Coturnix japonica: one gene and its partner. The protein of the gene in region 2 purifies or fractionates together with the protein of the main gene of each other region. This does not show direct contact. Links are inferred from orthologs where the notes say so. Each region holds a gene or a part of one and is shown on either strand. Other genes may lie near its edges.

What was found.
Region 1: the proteins of SYNCRIP (region 2) and FAM120A purify together in Homo sapiens (co-immunoprecipitation; 3 studies listed by BioGRID and IntAct, counting the BioPlex papers as one, with this or other methods). This does not show direct contact. The link is inferred for Coturnix japonica from reciprocal best matches to the Homo sapiens genes SYNCRIP and FAM120A.

What each region holds. Positions count from the first base shown.
Region 1 is NC_029527.1:4,486,275-4,494,881, forward strand, and holds the start of FAM120A (constitutive coactivator of PPAR-gamma-like protein 1), read right to left. Parts: upstream 4,615-8,607; 5' UTR 4,558-4,614; coding exon 4,084-4,557; intron 537-4,083; coding exon 290-536; intron 1-289. UniProt on the Homo sapiens protein: Component of the oxidative stress-induced survival signaling. May regulate the activation of SRC family protein kinases. May act as a scaffolding protein enabling SRC family protein kinases to phosphorylate and activate PI3-kinase.
Region 2 is NC_029518.1:70,016,357-70,024,393, reverse strand, and holds part of SYNCRIP (heterogeneous nuclear ribonucleoprotein Q), read right to left. Parts: intron 7,458-8,037; exon of another isoform or gene 7,435-7,457; intron 7,176-7,434; 5' UTR 7,164-7,175; coding exon 7,016-7,163; intron 6,140-7,015; coding exon 6,021-6,139; intron 5,835-6,020; coding exon 5,727-5,834; intron 3,707-5,726; coding exon 3,593-3,706; intron 3,508-3,592; coding exon 3,331-3,507; intron 1-3,330. UniProt on the Homo sapiens protein: Heterogenous nuclear ribonucleoprotein (hnRNP) implicated in mRNA processing mechanisms. Component of the CRD-mediated complex that promotes MYC mRNA stability.

The DNA of each region.
Region 1 (8,607 bases), on a different chromosome or scaffold from region 2:
CAATGCGGAGCTCTGCAGAATTCTTACTTCCTACTCCTGTTTCCATGCAGCCACAGTCCACATCGCTCAAGGGTCGCTACAAATCGTGGCATCTGCCCGACCTCATTAGAAAATAAAACATAAAGAAGAGAAATAGCATCCCACCTCAAAAGCAGCCTGAATGACTAAAACAAAAGGATGGTTTTGCCGAGATGCTTTGTCAAATCACACACACGCTTTAAAACATTTAATAGGAAATGAAATCACAAGTCTGACTAGTAGCATCGAGTTCCTGTATTACTTTACTTACCTAAAAGAGCAGCAAAAATAGGAAAGCGATTTGGATTCAGGTCCAGTTGCTTGGCAACTTCATGCATTAGATATTGGCTTGTTGTGAGACTTTTCCCATTACGGCTCAGTTTTAGGGCATGGGCACTGAAATAGTATGGGATGTTGCACAATGCATAATCGGAGTCATACGCAACCAAACCATGGAAACCTTTTTCTCTGCAGAAAGCAATTACTTCTTGATGATGATCCTCAATGCTCTGTGCAACCTGTAGTGGAAGACAGAGTAATTAGTGCAAAATGGTAGCACTGATTCAGAGCATGCATGATGATATAATTTGTCTTTCTGAAACTGTAAACGTGTGTTTGAAACACCTGCAGAATATTTACAGTAATTAGAAAATCCGATGACACGGCACATACGGACAGGCTGCAAGGAGTGCTCGGGAGCACAACGCCAAGTGCTGCAGGCCTACACATTGGAGTGCATGATGCATTGCTCAGCCCATCTGAAGTAACTGTTTATTAACAGGAACACTCAAGCTCTAAACACATTACTGCAGCAAAGCCTGTGTTAGCTCCGGGAAACAGACCCTCTGGCTGCGGCTACTCAGCAGTTCCATGCCAAAGTGCCCCACAACAGCACCCCCAGCACAAGATCACTTAGCAAGTGTTATGGCACTGTTCTAACAATAACAAACCACCCCAAGGCAGCAGGGGTGATTTTCTTTAACTTCCAAACACCCATGTGCCATAAGAAGCCCAACTGCTTCCTCTTTCCACCTTCAAATCCCCCTGAGACCATTCAATGCGTTCACCATCTACACAAACAGCATCCAGCAGTTCACAAGTCTTGCACAAACCCAGTCTCACCAGGTACAAGGAACACAGTAAGTTGTACCAGAACAGGAAAGCACAAACTGTGTGCCAAAGCCAATGCACTGTGTGGTGCCAGTGCCAGAGCTGCTGCTGGCTTGCAGTCATGGCCTATAGCCACCAGCTCACCCCAACACTGAGCCTCGTGTGACCACCCACTGCCTGCTGCCGTCTTGAAGGCACTTCCTACCCCAGCACTGACCACAGCCTTGCACACAAGCTGCTCACTCTGTGCTTCTCCCATGCAGCCTCTCCCTTTCAGCAAAGTCCCCAGCACCCCACACAGAGCTGCACCCATTGCCAGGGGAAGCTCATGGAGCTCTATTCCCAATGCTACCTTCCTTATTGAAGTGCTATGAAAACACGACTCCTTTGGAAACATGCTTATGCTGCACTGGTTCTCAAAGTTAATTGTGTTTGAGGATCAAGAGTGTTCATTCTCCCAGTAAACTCCCTGTCCCATGCACACACAGCAAGAACAGCTCTAAGTGCCACACGACCAACTCAGGGAAGGGTCCTGTTATGTATAAATTAAGGCATTCCCTGTTGCTTTTATTTTATGGACAGATCAATTTAACTTACACATGAGCATTAAACCAACCATCAACGAACCACCAGTGCACACCAAGCAAGTTTCTGCTATGATCTCCGGCAGCGCTGTGGGCACACAGCACACATAGAGGAAGCCTGCTCGGATCTGCTTCCTCCTTTCCACGCTCCCCAACCCCCTCCTGCACTCTGACACAGCGCTCCCAGCCCGGAGCCCTTTATGTAACACCACAACTCACACTCCAGTCACCGGGTGGCTGAAAGGAGGAGAGCTGTGTGTCCCACAACAGACAAGCTGTAGCACAAAGCTTGTGCAGGGCAAGAGCCAGGGCCGGCAGCTCTCAAGAGCAGGGGACCAGAGGGTGCAGATGCAACCAGGCAGCCACACGTGTCTGTGATGGAATAGGGAGGGAATTGGAGAGGGTTTTGAGACCAAATCTCATGCAAACAAAGATGCTGGGCCAGAGGGAGAAGTCTGCAAGTAGCAGGCACGTGTGTGTTCCGACACCGAGTATAAAGTCCCAACAAAGTAGGGGAGGTGTTAAGATCTGAGGTGATGAAATATTTAAGTTCTCCCAAACATACTTTCGTGTTAAAAAGCTCCTTGTAGGAATTACTGCCCCTCCCTCAAGCAGACAAACACCAGGTCACAGCACAGCCAGGAGCCCGTAGGATACGTGTTGTCGTTGGGAGGAACCTGTTATTTCTGCATCCTGCTGAAACCATCTGTGAGTGATTTGTAATTGTTCTGGATGGAATACGCTCCTTTCTCGCTCCTCTCTAATTACCAAATGAGATTAAGCCCACAGCCAGTCCCCAGGTCTGCACAGCTCAAATGTTTCCTGCAAGTATGAAAATGAGTTTTGTATTTAAAGTAAATCAGTACTCTCAAATTCAGCTGCTCGAAGTAAACAGTGAGATAACACCGGGATTGGCGATGGAATCAGGATCTGCCTCGTGCATGTGTAAATAAAGTCACCCCTATGTGCAAACAACAATCACACGTGCGAGCTCCGTTTGCTGCGTGCCCACCAGAGGGGCTGCTAGGAAAGGAGTGGGGGGAGAATGGGAAAGATCTGTGCAATAAAGCCAACTTCTAAAGAGATTAAACTACGTAAGAGAAGAAAAACAGAACAAGAATATGATTCAAGAGCAACAGTAGCGAACAGAGAATATTATATCTGCCACCATAACCATGAAATACAGCACCTACCCTGGATGTGAACCAACCCAAGCAGCTTCCTGACAGCTGCACAGAGGCATCAAGCAGAGCACACCATCCCCTGTGCACTGCCAGCACAGCACAGCACGGAGCTCGGTGCTGCCTCACTGCCAACAGCAGCAGGGAACGGCCCCACGCGGCTGGCTCCCATCACACAAACACCACCACCCTCCACCCAGCAAAACTCAACTCCCTTCCATTTTTATATGAGGATTATACAAGAGGCCCCAGCGCTACACATCCTAAAACTGTTTGTGGAGATTAGCAACAAGGCCTATTACCACAAAACGGCAAAGCAGCTAATGCTGCCGCTAAGCCTGAGAGCAAACACGGTGCTACAGGTGACACCGCTGACAAGAGCAGCACTTCAGCATCAAGGAACCGGTGTTTAATGCTGCCTATGTCAGAGCGAGTCCAACGTATCCAAACATCCAATTCCTATCACCATTAGAACAGCGGTTTTGTATTGCATGCTATTTATTGTAGTACTGCGGTAACATTTAGATTTTAGCGTGCATTTTAATGTTACCCAAAGGCCGCTTTCACTAAGGATCTCCACAACAAGCTGAGATTGATGATGCACCCACAACCAGAGCGAGGTTACCACCCTTACTGCACGCTATAACTTTGCGAGTCGGTGAACTCGACTATTTCCCCTCTACAAGAAAACGCGTGGGCCGGGAGCCGCTTCCAAATCGCCTCCGATTCTCAGCAGCGCTTCTACAGCCACAGCTGCGGACAGGCGAGGAAACGAGGCCGCGGCCTCCGGGCCCAGCGGGGCTCCACGGGGCACAGCAAGGCCGCACCCGCTCCGGGCCCGGAGCTCCGAGGCACCGCCCGCCGCAAGTTGGAGCGCGCCGGCCCGGCCGGGACTTGTTGCAGAGCCGCGCGCCGCCGCTTTTCTTTCCCTCCCAACTCCTCGGGTTGAGGAGGGACATTTTGAGCACGCCGAGTCCGGCCCCTAAAGAACATGGTGGCACGGGGCCCGGTCTCGGAGAGGCCCCGCAGCGTTCGCTCGGTGGATCCCCGCGGATCGAGGCCGCCCCCGCGGGCCGACATCTTGCGGTGCCCCGACGGCCGGGCAGGCACAGGGCAGGCCCCGCTGCCATCTTAACGCGGCCCCGCAACCCGCCCCGCCCGGCACCGCTCGGAGCGGGTCCGGGGCTCACCTTGATGTGGAAGCGGATGAGGGCCAGGCGGATGCAGTGCGCCATGCAGACGGGCGGCAGGAACCAGACCTTGGGCGGCGGGGTGCCCTTGTTCTGGACGTGGCTGACGATCTGCTGCGCCGTCTGGCGCTCGTTGCCCTGGCGCTTCACCCACTCGTGCAGCCGGGCCTTCTCCAGGGCGCCGTTAAAAAAGACGAAGAGCTCGATGTTGCCGTTGAAGCAGGCCTTAGCCAGGGCCGCCAGGTAGCCCAGCATGTGGTTCCACTGCCCGCCGCTCACCCAGTCCGTGTAGAAGCCGCCGTACAGCCGGTGCAGGCAGTTGTCGGCATCGATGAGGAGGCGCAGCGGGGTCTGCGGGGGCCGCTGCCGCCCCCCCCCCACCAAGCTGCCCCGCGCCAGCTTCTGCAGCTCGACGGGCACCACGGCGCTGGGGCAGTGCTTCTCGATGTAGTCCTGGAAGCCCTGCACTCCCATGGTGAGCACCGGGCGGCGGCGGGCGGGCGAGCGGCGGCGGGCGGGCGAGCGGAGGCCCCGCGGCGGCGGCGGCGGAGGCGGCTGTGGCTGTGGCGGTGGTGGCGGCGCGGTCCGGGCTCGGGCCGGGAGTTGCGGGCGGGCGGTGGGAGCGGCGGGGCCGGGCGGGCGCTGGAGGCTGCGGGCGGCCGTTCAGCGGGGGGTCGTATGGATCAGGGGGGGGCTCATGGCTGCCGCGGCCGCCATGTGGCTGCTCTCACAGAGCCATGGCTCGGGGATCCGGGCTGCTGCCGCTGCGGCTCCGACTGCCGGGGGGGAGGGGGGAGCGGCACAGCGCAGGAAGCCAACCCGCCGCCGCCGCCGCCTGCAGCACGGAGAGCGGAACGGGCGGGACTTGGCGGCGGCCGCCGCTGCCACTCACCGCGCGGGGTGGGAAGCGGAGGTTGAAGTGGGGGAAGGGGGGGGGGAGCGAGCCCCCAACGCCGCCGCTCGGTGTCTCGGTGTCCGCCGCCCTCACGGCCCCGCTCGTTGCCCTGCCCTGCCCTGCGGCCCCGGCGCGGCGCGGCCCGCGCAGCCCGCCCGCCGCCGCTGTTGCATAACCCAAGCATGCGCCGGAGCGAGGGGCAGCGGGCGGAAGCGGGTGGCGGGGAAGGGGAGGGGGCTGCGCGGGGGCGGAGGATCGGGGAGGGAGGTGGGAGCCCGAGCGGAGCTGTGATGTGCTGTGCGGGGCCGTACGGCGCCACTCGGCCCGGCAAAGTGCCGGCAGCACCGGGTAACCTGGCTGTAGTTGCATGGAATCGTATGAAAAAGGCCCGGAGTTGTGCATCAGCAGTTGGCTGCTCGGAGGAATAACACGGTGCCCAAGCACTGTGTGCTGAGTGTCAGGAACACATGGAGTGTGTGTGCTGTCCATTCACACCCATATTTTATCAGTCAAATTAAAACACGTTAGGAGAGTTGGTTCAGGTTGGATTGGCACCTGAGGTGAATGCCCCAACCTGAGGACAGGGAAGTAGTCAATGGGAAATACGCTTCTTAGTAGAATTCCATTTTTGTAAAGGTCTGAGCGTGGTTCCCGAAGTAAACAATCACGTTATGATAGCATCTAAACAATAAAGCACATAGAATGTTCTAAGAAGCATTCAAAATACGGCAGCACTGCTAATGTGAGGACAGAAGATTCTAACAATTCTAACTACCCCAAAACTGCCCAAAACTTGGTCAGAAGAGCAAGTGCTGCCATGCATGAGGTGCATAGAAAGCAGCTGCTCAGACATGCCTACGCATAATCAACGCTGTGGCTGTGTGAAGTACAAGGTTTGATCACAGACAGCCAAGGGACAGTTACGTGCTCCTTCAATACACTATTCAGAATCAGATCTTTAACCATGTTGTGCTCTTTGAAACAGGCATTTAAGAGATCCACACAGAGGACAACCCGTGCTCAAATTATCCTTAAGAAACAAGCAGTCGCTGCCGATTGAAGGACAAATCAACATGTGGGTACTTATGTCACAGGATATTTAGGTTTGGTGCTCTTAGGAATGACAAGTTGCATAGAAATAAAACATTTCTTAAGTTAACTTCGGTGTTTATTCTTTGTTTGTTTGGGAAAAAGGAAAACTAGTCCAAAGCACCTGAACTCTTAACTCTGTGATGCTTCCCATGGCATTAGATGGGCACAGTGTTACTGAGTGCTGCAGGCTCACTGTGTGTAAATGGATGCAGCCCTCCCTCCTTGGGAGAAAAGAGAAGAGGGAGGTAAACCAGCAGGGGAATACAGAGCTTGAAGAAGTTGTTTGACACAAATATCTGTTTTTTACCTAAGTACATATTTGGCTGGACAAGAAGGCAATGATAAAGCAGTATAATTTACGGAGAGCAAAATTACACAGGAAAGCAGGTAGAATAAGATTTTAAAAAGCAATTAACTGAAGGCATGAAGACAAACAAGGTATTTTTTTTCAGCAACCAGCAGCAGAAAGCCTGCAGGAATCAGTCGGCGTGTGAGAAAATGGCGTAACACAGGAAAGGCACCGAGGAGCTTTTTACTCAGCACAACACATTGCGGTCTGCTAGCGGTGTAAGGGAAGGGTTAATAACAATTATTATTAAAGTCAGTGACTCATTAAACAACCCGAATAGAAGAGAATTAGGAGTGGCTCCCTAGTAGGAAGGAACTGAACAATCGTTAGGAAGAACTCCTAATGAATAACCATGTCAGGGCAAGAACATGGAGATGAATGTTATCATTTCAGTCTTTGTTCGTCTGCTAACGAACTCAGGTCCCACCATGAGATGAATGTGGATGTAGGCAGTGGAATGGGCTATCCAGGGTAACCTTGGTGGGTACGTGTGCCTGGAGGTAACAGATCCATGTATTATTATCCATGAGAAATACTGGTTTGATCTGATTTCCCTTATTGTTTCTCCTCCTCTCTAACCCCGCTTTTCTTGGTTTTCCTCCGCTCTAACCCCGCTTTTCTTGGTTTTCCTCCGCTCTATCCCCGCTTTTCTTGGTTTTCCTCCGCTCTAACCCCGCTGCACGTCATCAAGTTGCTGCTGCCTCAGAACTTCACAGTCCTTGCTGGTGCTGCAGGAGCAAAGTTCCTGTCCCGTCTGCTTGCTGCTGGGTCGGAGGGTGGGCCACAGCTTGTCCTGCTGCAGGGCACTCATGTGCATTCTCACTTCAGCACACAAGGGGTCTTTTCTATTAGTATCTCCATATGCAAATACAGACATTTGGAAGTGAGCATCCGGGAAGTGCTGAGATTCCTGTGTTGGTTGAGATGTTAGCTGCCCTATTTCCCTTTCCTGTAATCTGACTGTAGTAGGGGTAGATTGTATGCAGAGATAAAATGGGCCCTATCTTCTCTCGTCCTCCATCCTTACCTCCATTTTTAGTATGTAAGTTTAATAAGTTGTTTCCTTTTTTCTGCCTTAATAAGTTATTTCCTTTTTTCCTTTGTTTTTCCTCTAAGTTATGGGCATGCCTGCCACTTACCCTGAAATAATGGTCCATCCGTCGCTGTATCTGGCTCAAGCCTTGTACCACAGCAGTTTCTACCAGGTGAGTGTCTACAAAGACCATCTCACTGACAGCTATGAACTGTATCAACTGATTTTGCACCATCATTGCTTGCTTTCCAGCAACCACATAGACTTTTTGCCTTTCTCAAGTTCTCTGTCTCTTAGAGAGAGACAGACTGAGGACTGCTAGCAAGGACTTTAAGAGGTGCACAGTAAATGACTGTTTACTGATTGTTTTCCTCTCTTCCCTCCCAGCTGGCCAAACAGACCCTGAGAGTTCTATGAAAGCTGTCAGTAAATTGTATGTCCCCTCTGCTTATCCACGACACTGTTCTGTTCTGCTTCTCAGGAAGTCCGCTCTCCTTACTTGCTTCATGCAAATGGGTGCTGATGGTGACTGTACAGGAAGAAGACGTGTTTTTTTCCCTCCTACTGGCACATACTTTTGCATTTACCTTAACAGAATGTCTGTTTATCCGAAGTACATTCTTCCCCATTACATTTTTCACTCTTAGTCAGAAGCCACGTTGTGGCAAGCTGTTTTATTTAATGCCTCTTCCTTTACTGTCACGGCAAGCACTGTTGTCTCTTTGTTAATTCCTCCCAAACTGTTAAATCTTCCCGAGCTGTTGTGCACTCATTGTGTTTTCCAGGTGTGTCAGTGGAACATTCCCATGAAGAAGTGCATCCCAATGGCCTGCACTGTGCAGTGGCCCACCAAAGGCACCAGTGATGGAATGATACCTTATTACTTAAGAATTCCACTTGGCATCTTCATTTTACAGCTCTGTTGTTCCTGTTACAGAAGCAGTATGATGTTTCCCTGTGTTTTGGTGGTGCCCAGCAGCCATGATAGCAGTTTGGTGCCAGCTGCTGCCCGTACACCTGGAGCGCTGCTGTGGCTATGAAAAAACCCCACATCACGTGCTGTAGTACCTGGTCCTCGTTCCTCCTCAGACAATACCTATTTTTATCTGTTTGGGAAAGAAAAAAACAAACAAGGTTTAGGAAATCTGATTTGCC
Region 2 (8,037 bases):
CCTTGAGGTCCCTTCCAACCCGGGTCATTCTGTGATTCTGTGGTGGCACACACAGGCCCAATTCTGGATTAAGTGCCACAACAGTCAGGCCACAAGATTAGCAAGGGCAGCATAACGCTTTTCTCTCCTGTCACCACTGAATCCACGCCCAAAGCCAACAGAGACATTAGTATCCTGTAGACACTACAGAGCATTCTTACTTTGCTGAGTTCTTCAAGAACCTATTCACAGACGGGTGAAGTAAGGTTACAATCTGGTTCGCCATTTCATTCACTTTCACCCAAGGTTTATTTCTAGTGGTGAACAAGCTGCACTGCTGGGCCTCGCTGGCAAACTGCTTCAGGGGAATGCTTGCATAATTCACCTGTACCTGTACTTTGATCAAACTTCTATTTGCTGTGGTCAAAAAATACTTCAAATTATAGCAGCATAAGGTATATAATCTCCCACAAGCTTAACCCCCTGGTTCTTATTTCCGTGCCTTATTTTGACAGAGCACTGGAACAGGCTGCCCAGGGAGGTGGTGGAGTCTCCTTCTCTGGAGATATTCAAGACCCGCCTGGACGCCTACCTGTGTGACGTGGTGTAGGGAGCCTGCTTTGGCAGGGGGGTTGAACTGGACGATCTCTAGAGGTCCCTTCCAACCCCTACAATTCTGTGATTCTGTGCATGCCCACAGTAATAGTAATCCTTCCAAAATAACTTCCAAAACTAAAAACTAACAACTTCATATGAAACAGCAGGAAGAACTGAGTGTGTGTGTGTATAAAACACAATGCTCAGAGTACAGAATCAGAAGGCAAACCAGACACTCCGATAGAGAAGAGATGCCTGAAAGAAGTCACACCCAACTTCTGACAGGTGGTGCTTGAGTGAACAACACTTGAGATGCCACTTAAGCAGCTGGCAACAGGGCAGAGATGGTGGACTACACACTGGATGAAGTATCAGACATACAATTAACTACTGTTCATATCTTTAGGTCTCCTTGGTATCAAGCCACAGCACCATTCCACTGCTTGTCTGAAGCATATCAAAGTTATTTCAAACAATCCACTATTTTCAGCAGAGTTCCACAGGCATATTTTGCTGATTCTCACAGAATCACAGAACGACCCAGGTTGGAAGGGACCTCAAGGATCATGTAGTTCCAACCCCCCTGCCTGGCAGGGTCACCAAACATACATATTTACTAGATCAGGTTGCCCAGGGCCCCGTCCAACCTGGCCTTGAACACCTCCAAGGACGGGGCATCCACAACCTCCCTGGGCAGCCTGTTCCAGGGCCTCACCACTCTCCTAGTGAAGAACTTCCCCCTAACATCCAACCTAAATCTTCCCTCTTTCAACTTAAATCCATTTCCCCCTGTCCTGCTATTGTCAGCCCTTTCAAAGAGTTTACTCCCCTCCTGGGTGTAGGTTCCCTTCAGGTATTGAAAGGCTGCAATGAGGTCACCCCACAGCCTTCTCTTCTCTAGGCTGAACAAACCCAACTCCCTCAGCCTGTCGACTTGCATTCTCATGCAAGTCACTCCTTGACAACTTGAGCAACTTCTAATACAACAAGCCAGCCAGCCTGCTATGGTCAAGACCACTCAAAAGCTAAACCTCATCTTGTAGAATTTGTCAGAGAGAATTAGCATGAAGACTGAAAATCTGCGCTATCATTCCTAACACTTTTCAACTATTACCCTCAATAGGTATCTAACTGAATGACAAGTAACTGCTTTATCAAAGATCAAGTGTACCGAGGCATTAATTACCTTCCTCCCCTGTATCACTGAGTACAAGACTGAGGTCAGGCATCTGACATGTTACTTCTAGGGAAACAAATGACTTCTCAGACCCTCAAAGAAATATGCTGCATTTAAGCAAAATGCAGCTGAGGAAAAAAACTCTTCGATTAGTAAGGACCTCTGGTAACGTATTTGATTTGTTCCACTCTTTTGGTAAGTCATGTGCACAACTCTGAAGAGTTTACACACATTATAAATAGCTGAGCTGACAATGAAAGTACAAAGAGGTACATGCAAACAGCTGAGTTTTCCCAAGTGTATTTGGATTGTGCACAGGCATACTGAACATTCTTGTTTAAAAAGTTAAACAGCAGATACCTCTTTTTTTTTTTTTTTTTAATACTTCCATGTTTTTGTTTTTAAGACACTTCGATACTTTTTGGGAGACAGTCCTATCTTCAGCCTTATTTGTCTCTATCAATTGGTTTTTATTATTAACGTGCCAACAAGGTAACTTCATTGTCTAAGGTGCACCCTATTAAAGAAGAGAGATTTTAACCCTACTGGGTTTATACAGCATCAGTGTAACTCAGAACGAGCAGGGTTCACACTCTTAGGATCACCTCAGCCACGTCAACGCAGAAGCAACTAGCTCAAAAAGATTCACATCTCACTTAACTAGAAAGACAAAGGGGGAGGGGGTCTTTAAGAATCACAGAATTATCAAGGTTGGAAAAGACCTAGAAGATCATCTAGTCCAACCATCACCAATACTTCCCAGCTAAATCATATTCATCAACACAACATCCAGACGTTTCTTGAACACTCCCATGGTCGGTGACTCCACCACCTCCCTGGGCAGTGCATTCCAATGCCTGACTACCCTTTCCGAGAAGTAATACTTCCTAATGTCCAGCCTGAATCTCCCCTGACGCAGCTTAAAACCATTCCCTCTAGTTCTATCACCGATTACACGAGAGAAGAGGCCAACCCCCAAGAAAAACAAGCTTGCTCATAAGGAGTTGTCTATTATAATACCTCACATCTCTGTCTAAACAGTGTAAACTTTTTAACCCGTGGCTTTTCTGTCATTTTCCAGTCTGTTTAAACAGCCTTAAAAGTGATTCTCTCTCCCCTCAAGTATCTCATGAAATTGTGTGAGTTTAGACACATTTTTCTCCCGTGGTGCCCTCTGCTGGTACATCAGCAAAGCAGAAATCATACAAAGCCCGACCAACTCCTTTGCACTGCAGCAACTCAATCAGCGCTTTCCTCAGAACTCATCCAAACCGTGACAGCTCAGAAGTCACCACAGCTAACACAGCTCTGGTATATAGTAAAGGCACACCGAACTGGACCAAATTTCCTTGCTTTTTTTCTATTCGTTATCCTGTGCCTAACACCTGTCCAGCAAAGATTTACATTCACGATAACACAGAAATACTTTTAAATGCCAAGTGGACATTTGTGAAATGATATAACAATGACACAGCTTAATTTTAAGCATTCAGACATAAGCATAAGGACAACTGCTTAAAAGCCACAATGTTCTTACCAAAAAGGAAAAGAAACAAAAGGCAGAAGAAGAAACTTACCAGCTTAACAGCCTCCTGAGCTGCTTCTTTAGTACAAAATGTGACAAAAGCATATCCTCTATTTAGACCAGTTAATGGATCCATCATCAAGCGGAGATCCCATATAGGTCCGGCTTTCTCAAATAACGGAACAAGTTCATCTTCAAACAAATCTCTTGGAATCTTACCTACAAATATCTACAACAGACACAGAGTGTTGCTTATAAGGAAAAAATACACCCAAGCAATACAAATGCACCTACATAAGTTATCTCCTCCTTACCTCTGTTCCAACAGAAGGCTGCTGTCCTGAATACACAGTATCTGGAGGAGGGCCCCCATATTTTCTCTGTCCTGTAGTTACATCAAGAGTGTAGCCGGTTCTTTCCAAGAGTGCCTGCAAGTAGAAAACCCAACATTTTGGTCTCTTTTCAGTAGCGCGTGGGGACAGGACTAGGGGTAATGGGATGAAAGTACAGCATAGGAAGTTCCGCATGAATGTGCACAAGAACTTCTTTACAGTGAGGGTGACGGAGCACTGGAACAGGCTGCCCAGGGAGGTGGTGGAGTCTCCTTCTCTGGAGATGTTCAAGACCTGCCTGGATGCCTACCTGTGTGATGTGTAGGGAGCCTACTTTGGCAGGGGGGTTGGACTCGATGATCTCTAGAGGTCCCTTCCAACCCCTACAATTCTGTGATTCTGTGATTTTAAAATCACATGGAAATTTGGCTGACTGAGATGTACTTCATTCACAGACAACAGACATGCTTAAAATTCATGTTTAACAGTACTGCTTTGAAATTCTCACAGGCGAACAAGCCTGGTGCTTCAACAAGTAAGTAACTTGCAGAACAATTACTCAAATTGCCATGAAAAGAAACAGTAGAAAATGAGGAGGTTCACATGAAGTTTTCCCCAATTCCTTCATTTTCATACACATACATGCAAAAAAAAAAAAAAAAAAAAAAAAAAAAAGGAGGCCAAGCATTAGAACACTGAGCTTCCCTTTAATTAGGAAGATCTTAGCAGCCCGAGCCACTTCTTGTTTTGGCATGCCCAATCCTGCAAACGTTTATGCAGAGAAGTTCCCTTCACTTAATGAGATTACTCATAAGTGTGAAGCTAAAGAACACATGTTCAACAGCTTACAACTCCTGGAACACTAACAGTGCTCTTTCTGCTTCAGGTATCCCACCACTCAAGTGGTAATAAAACTTCCTTCCTCCTGCAATGCTGTCCCTCCTCCTCCCTTCAATTCCTTGTGGGAAAATACAGCAGTGCAGCACAACTGAGCTTTGCTACCATCACTGCACACACTTACAAATTCGTTACCAACTATAAACTGAAGTTCAGAACGCTGATATCCACAGCAGCTCCTCAGAAAAGTGGCTTTTCTTAATAACTTTGTACAAAGACGAACCAACTCTGCAGGCAAAGGAACTGCTCGCTTAACAACTCAATCAAAAGCTGATTTCACAACTGGAAAATTGCAGAGCAATTTTAAATGGTGGAGCCATCAGCAATAACAGCTACGATACTTTATTTAATACATATTATTGATGCTTTATGTGGCAATGACAAGAACCGTATACCAGCTGTTTAATTATTATTATAATAAATTATTATTATAAAATAATAAATTATTATAAAAAAATCAAAATCAGGAGAAAAAGGGACATGCCAGTTTTACAATCCACATACTTATTTTTAATCTGCATCACATGGATTTTCCATTTTATTCATATAAAGTTAAAGACAAAAGACTGCCTCAACTTTCCAAGATTTCAACTAAACATACTTCTTTGTCCTTTCCATTTGGTAAAGTTGCTTATCACAGTATCTAATGTAAACTGTAGTACACCTAACTCCTGTTACAAGTGTTTCTTGGTATCAGAAGACTCATGCGAAGAAGTAAAGTATTCTTTAAGACAATTTTGACTCATACTATCTCCCTGTTGGGGAGTTTCTCTCTGAACTGAGAGAAGCAAACCAAGCCAGTAGCTAAAGTCATGTACTTGGAACTCAAATAGCTATGCTGACAAGTTTCCTACAACTTCTAACTGTGAAGCTGTCTGACTGTCCCAACAAGCCAATACACAGAATGTAAACCAAACTGCCAAATGCTTTCCATGTTTCAATACACATTCAGTTCTAGTAACAGACAGATTAAGTTCTCTTAAAGACACAACCTAAGATGAAAGCATAAATGAAAGCTTGTAAATAACACAGAATCACAGAATTGTAGGGGTTGGAAGTGACCTCTAGAGATCATCGAGTCCAACCCCCCATATCATAAAATAATCTCTAAGATCCCTTCCTAGGCAAGCACGGTTCCTTAAAACTTAAGATCTGTATCACAATCACTTTGAAAAAACAACAACACAGTCTTTGTAGCTTTAATCTTTTAGTCACATACCTTAATTTTTGCCTCATCTGGTCCTTTGCTAGAATCTGCCACCTTGGTCCCCTGTTTTTCCCTCTGCCTGTACGTCTTCATGACTCCACATAAAAATGCACTTTTGTTCTGCAAGAGATGCATTAATCTTCAGTTCTGCAAACATTACAAACCAGAACCTAATTTTTCCTTGAACTTCCACAGAGCACATTTCACATATGACACATGATTCAGTGAAGAGGTTTAATCAAACCTTTTGTCAGTCTACCAGCAGTTTATCCCTCACCAATTATATTCCGAATTGCTTCATGTTACCTGAACATGTGAGAGATCACTGTCTTTAAACTGCTGTAATACAGAGAGGGCTCCTTCTTCATTAAATTCCCTAAGAGCATCAATTGCTCTTTCATCTAGATCACTATGTGCAACTAGCCCTAGAGAAAAGAAAAAAAAAAATTACTAATTACATTTGGGTAGCAATCTCTGTTTCATCATATTTAACACACCTAATATACTTCAGTGTCCCCTAAACCAATTGCTGGCTAAAAGTAAGTTGCTATAACTAAGAAATCACTCAGTTCCCTAAGTTAAAATTTAAGTGCACTTTGCTTACTTTCATCCAGAAGTATTAAAATCATAAGAATTAGACTAAGAGTTAATGCATTCATGTATTTGAATTCTCATGTCACGCGGGGCAGGTTTAGTTTTGGTATCCTTAAGTTGAACTCTAAAGGATCTATCAAAAACTGACTTGGCTTGATGAGCAACGTACTGTGATGACTGGGAGGAGACTGCAAACTGCAGCACTCAAAGCAACTACAGCACCAAAATCAAGCTTTACTATGCTACTGCCATGCCTGACAGGCAGAATACAATGACAATCTATGAGCTCCAGTACCATGCCACAAAGCATCATTTACATCAGATGATGTCTACCAAGGCTTCAGTGACTTGACATTATCTACAACTACACTAAAAGCTCACAAAGCCCATATCACCTGCTCCTTCTAAGTGTCAGCTGTTGCCTATCCCAGGTAATACTATGCTTATACTCATACTTCTCTTTCCCACCACCCACCCCAAGCAGCTTGGCCCAGACTGCTCTCTGGGAAACATCATGATAAACTAAAACACTGAATGATAAAAACAAACAAGAAAACAAGCACAAAAAAACACCATGTATTTTGTTGAGACTGTAGTTCTTGTACTTCTAAAAACCACATGAAGTTGCTCAGATAGCCCAAAGACAGCAGCAGAAGCCAGTGAAATATTCTAGGACCTAGGAAGGTTTGGCAAGTTTCACTGCTTACCTGCCACGTAAATTTCGTCTAGTTTTTCAGCAACTTTCTGTGGTAAACCAGCATCAAGCAACGTCTGGAAGTGCTCAGAATGGGTAACCGCAGCAGAAGTGTCCATTGGCTCTTCAGTACCGTTCCCATTCACATGTTCAGTAGCCATGTTTCCAGATATCTGTTCAAACGCGAGAAGCAGAATCGTTAAGCTGCAAACACCTTCCAGCAGAACAATTCAAGTGACAGCACGTGCAGCAGCCCACCCAATTCTCGTAAAGAGACAGCGGAGCACTTCCCGGATACTTCCAGCTTCCAGAGCCGCACGGAATTCCTCAAAAGGAGCCTTGACACAAAGGGAAGCCCTAACGCCGCTGCCTGGCGGGGGCGGGGTGGCTCTCACTGCAGGTTTTACACAACGCAGCCAGACACTGACTCACCTCGCCCGCTGTCTCCGTAACGCGCTCCCCGAGAAGCTCCCAACAAGTTCGGGACGGAGCCCGGAGCCAGCGGCGGGGGCGTTAAGCAGCGAACCGCCGCGTTCCTTCACCACCACCACCGCCCGCCCGCCCGCCCCCCCCGCCCCCCGACCCCTCGCGGTCGCGCTCCCCTCCCGCCCGCGCCGCCGTCCGGACCGGGCCGGGCCGGCGTAGAAACAAAGCGCCCGTTCCGGCCCGCACCCTCCCACGGCGGCAGCGGCGGCCGCCATGAGCCCGCTGGAAACACGTGCTCTGCGCGCTCAGATGTCCTACAACTTCCTCCAGTGACCGACTTCCCCCTCCCCGCCGCGCTCCCGGGAGCAGGAGGAGCGGCTCCCCCCCGCCCGCGCCCCGGCCCTTCCCCACCTCTCGCCCGATTCCCCCCGGATCGCGGTTGCGACACCGCGGGCCCGATTTCACCACCGGCCCGGCCGCTCCACGCGCCTCCCGGCCGCGCCGCCGCCGCCGAGCCGCGCTTCCCCCGAAACAATGCGGGGCCGCGCCGCCAAGCCCGCGGCACCCCCGGCCCGGGCAGCCGCCACCGCGCTCCGCCCCGGGAGGCGA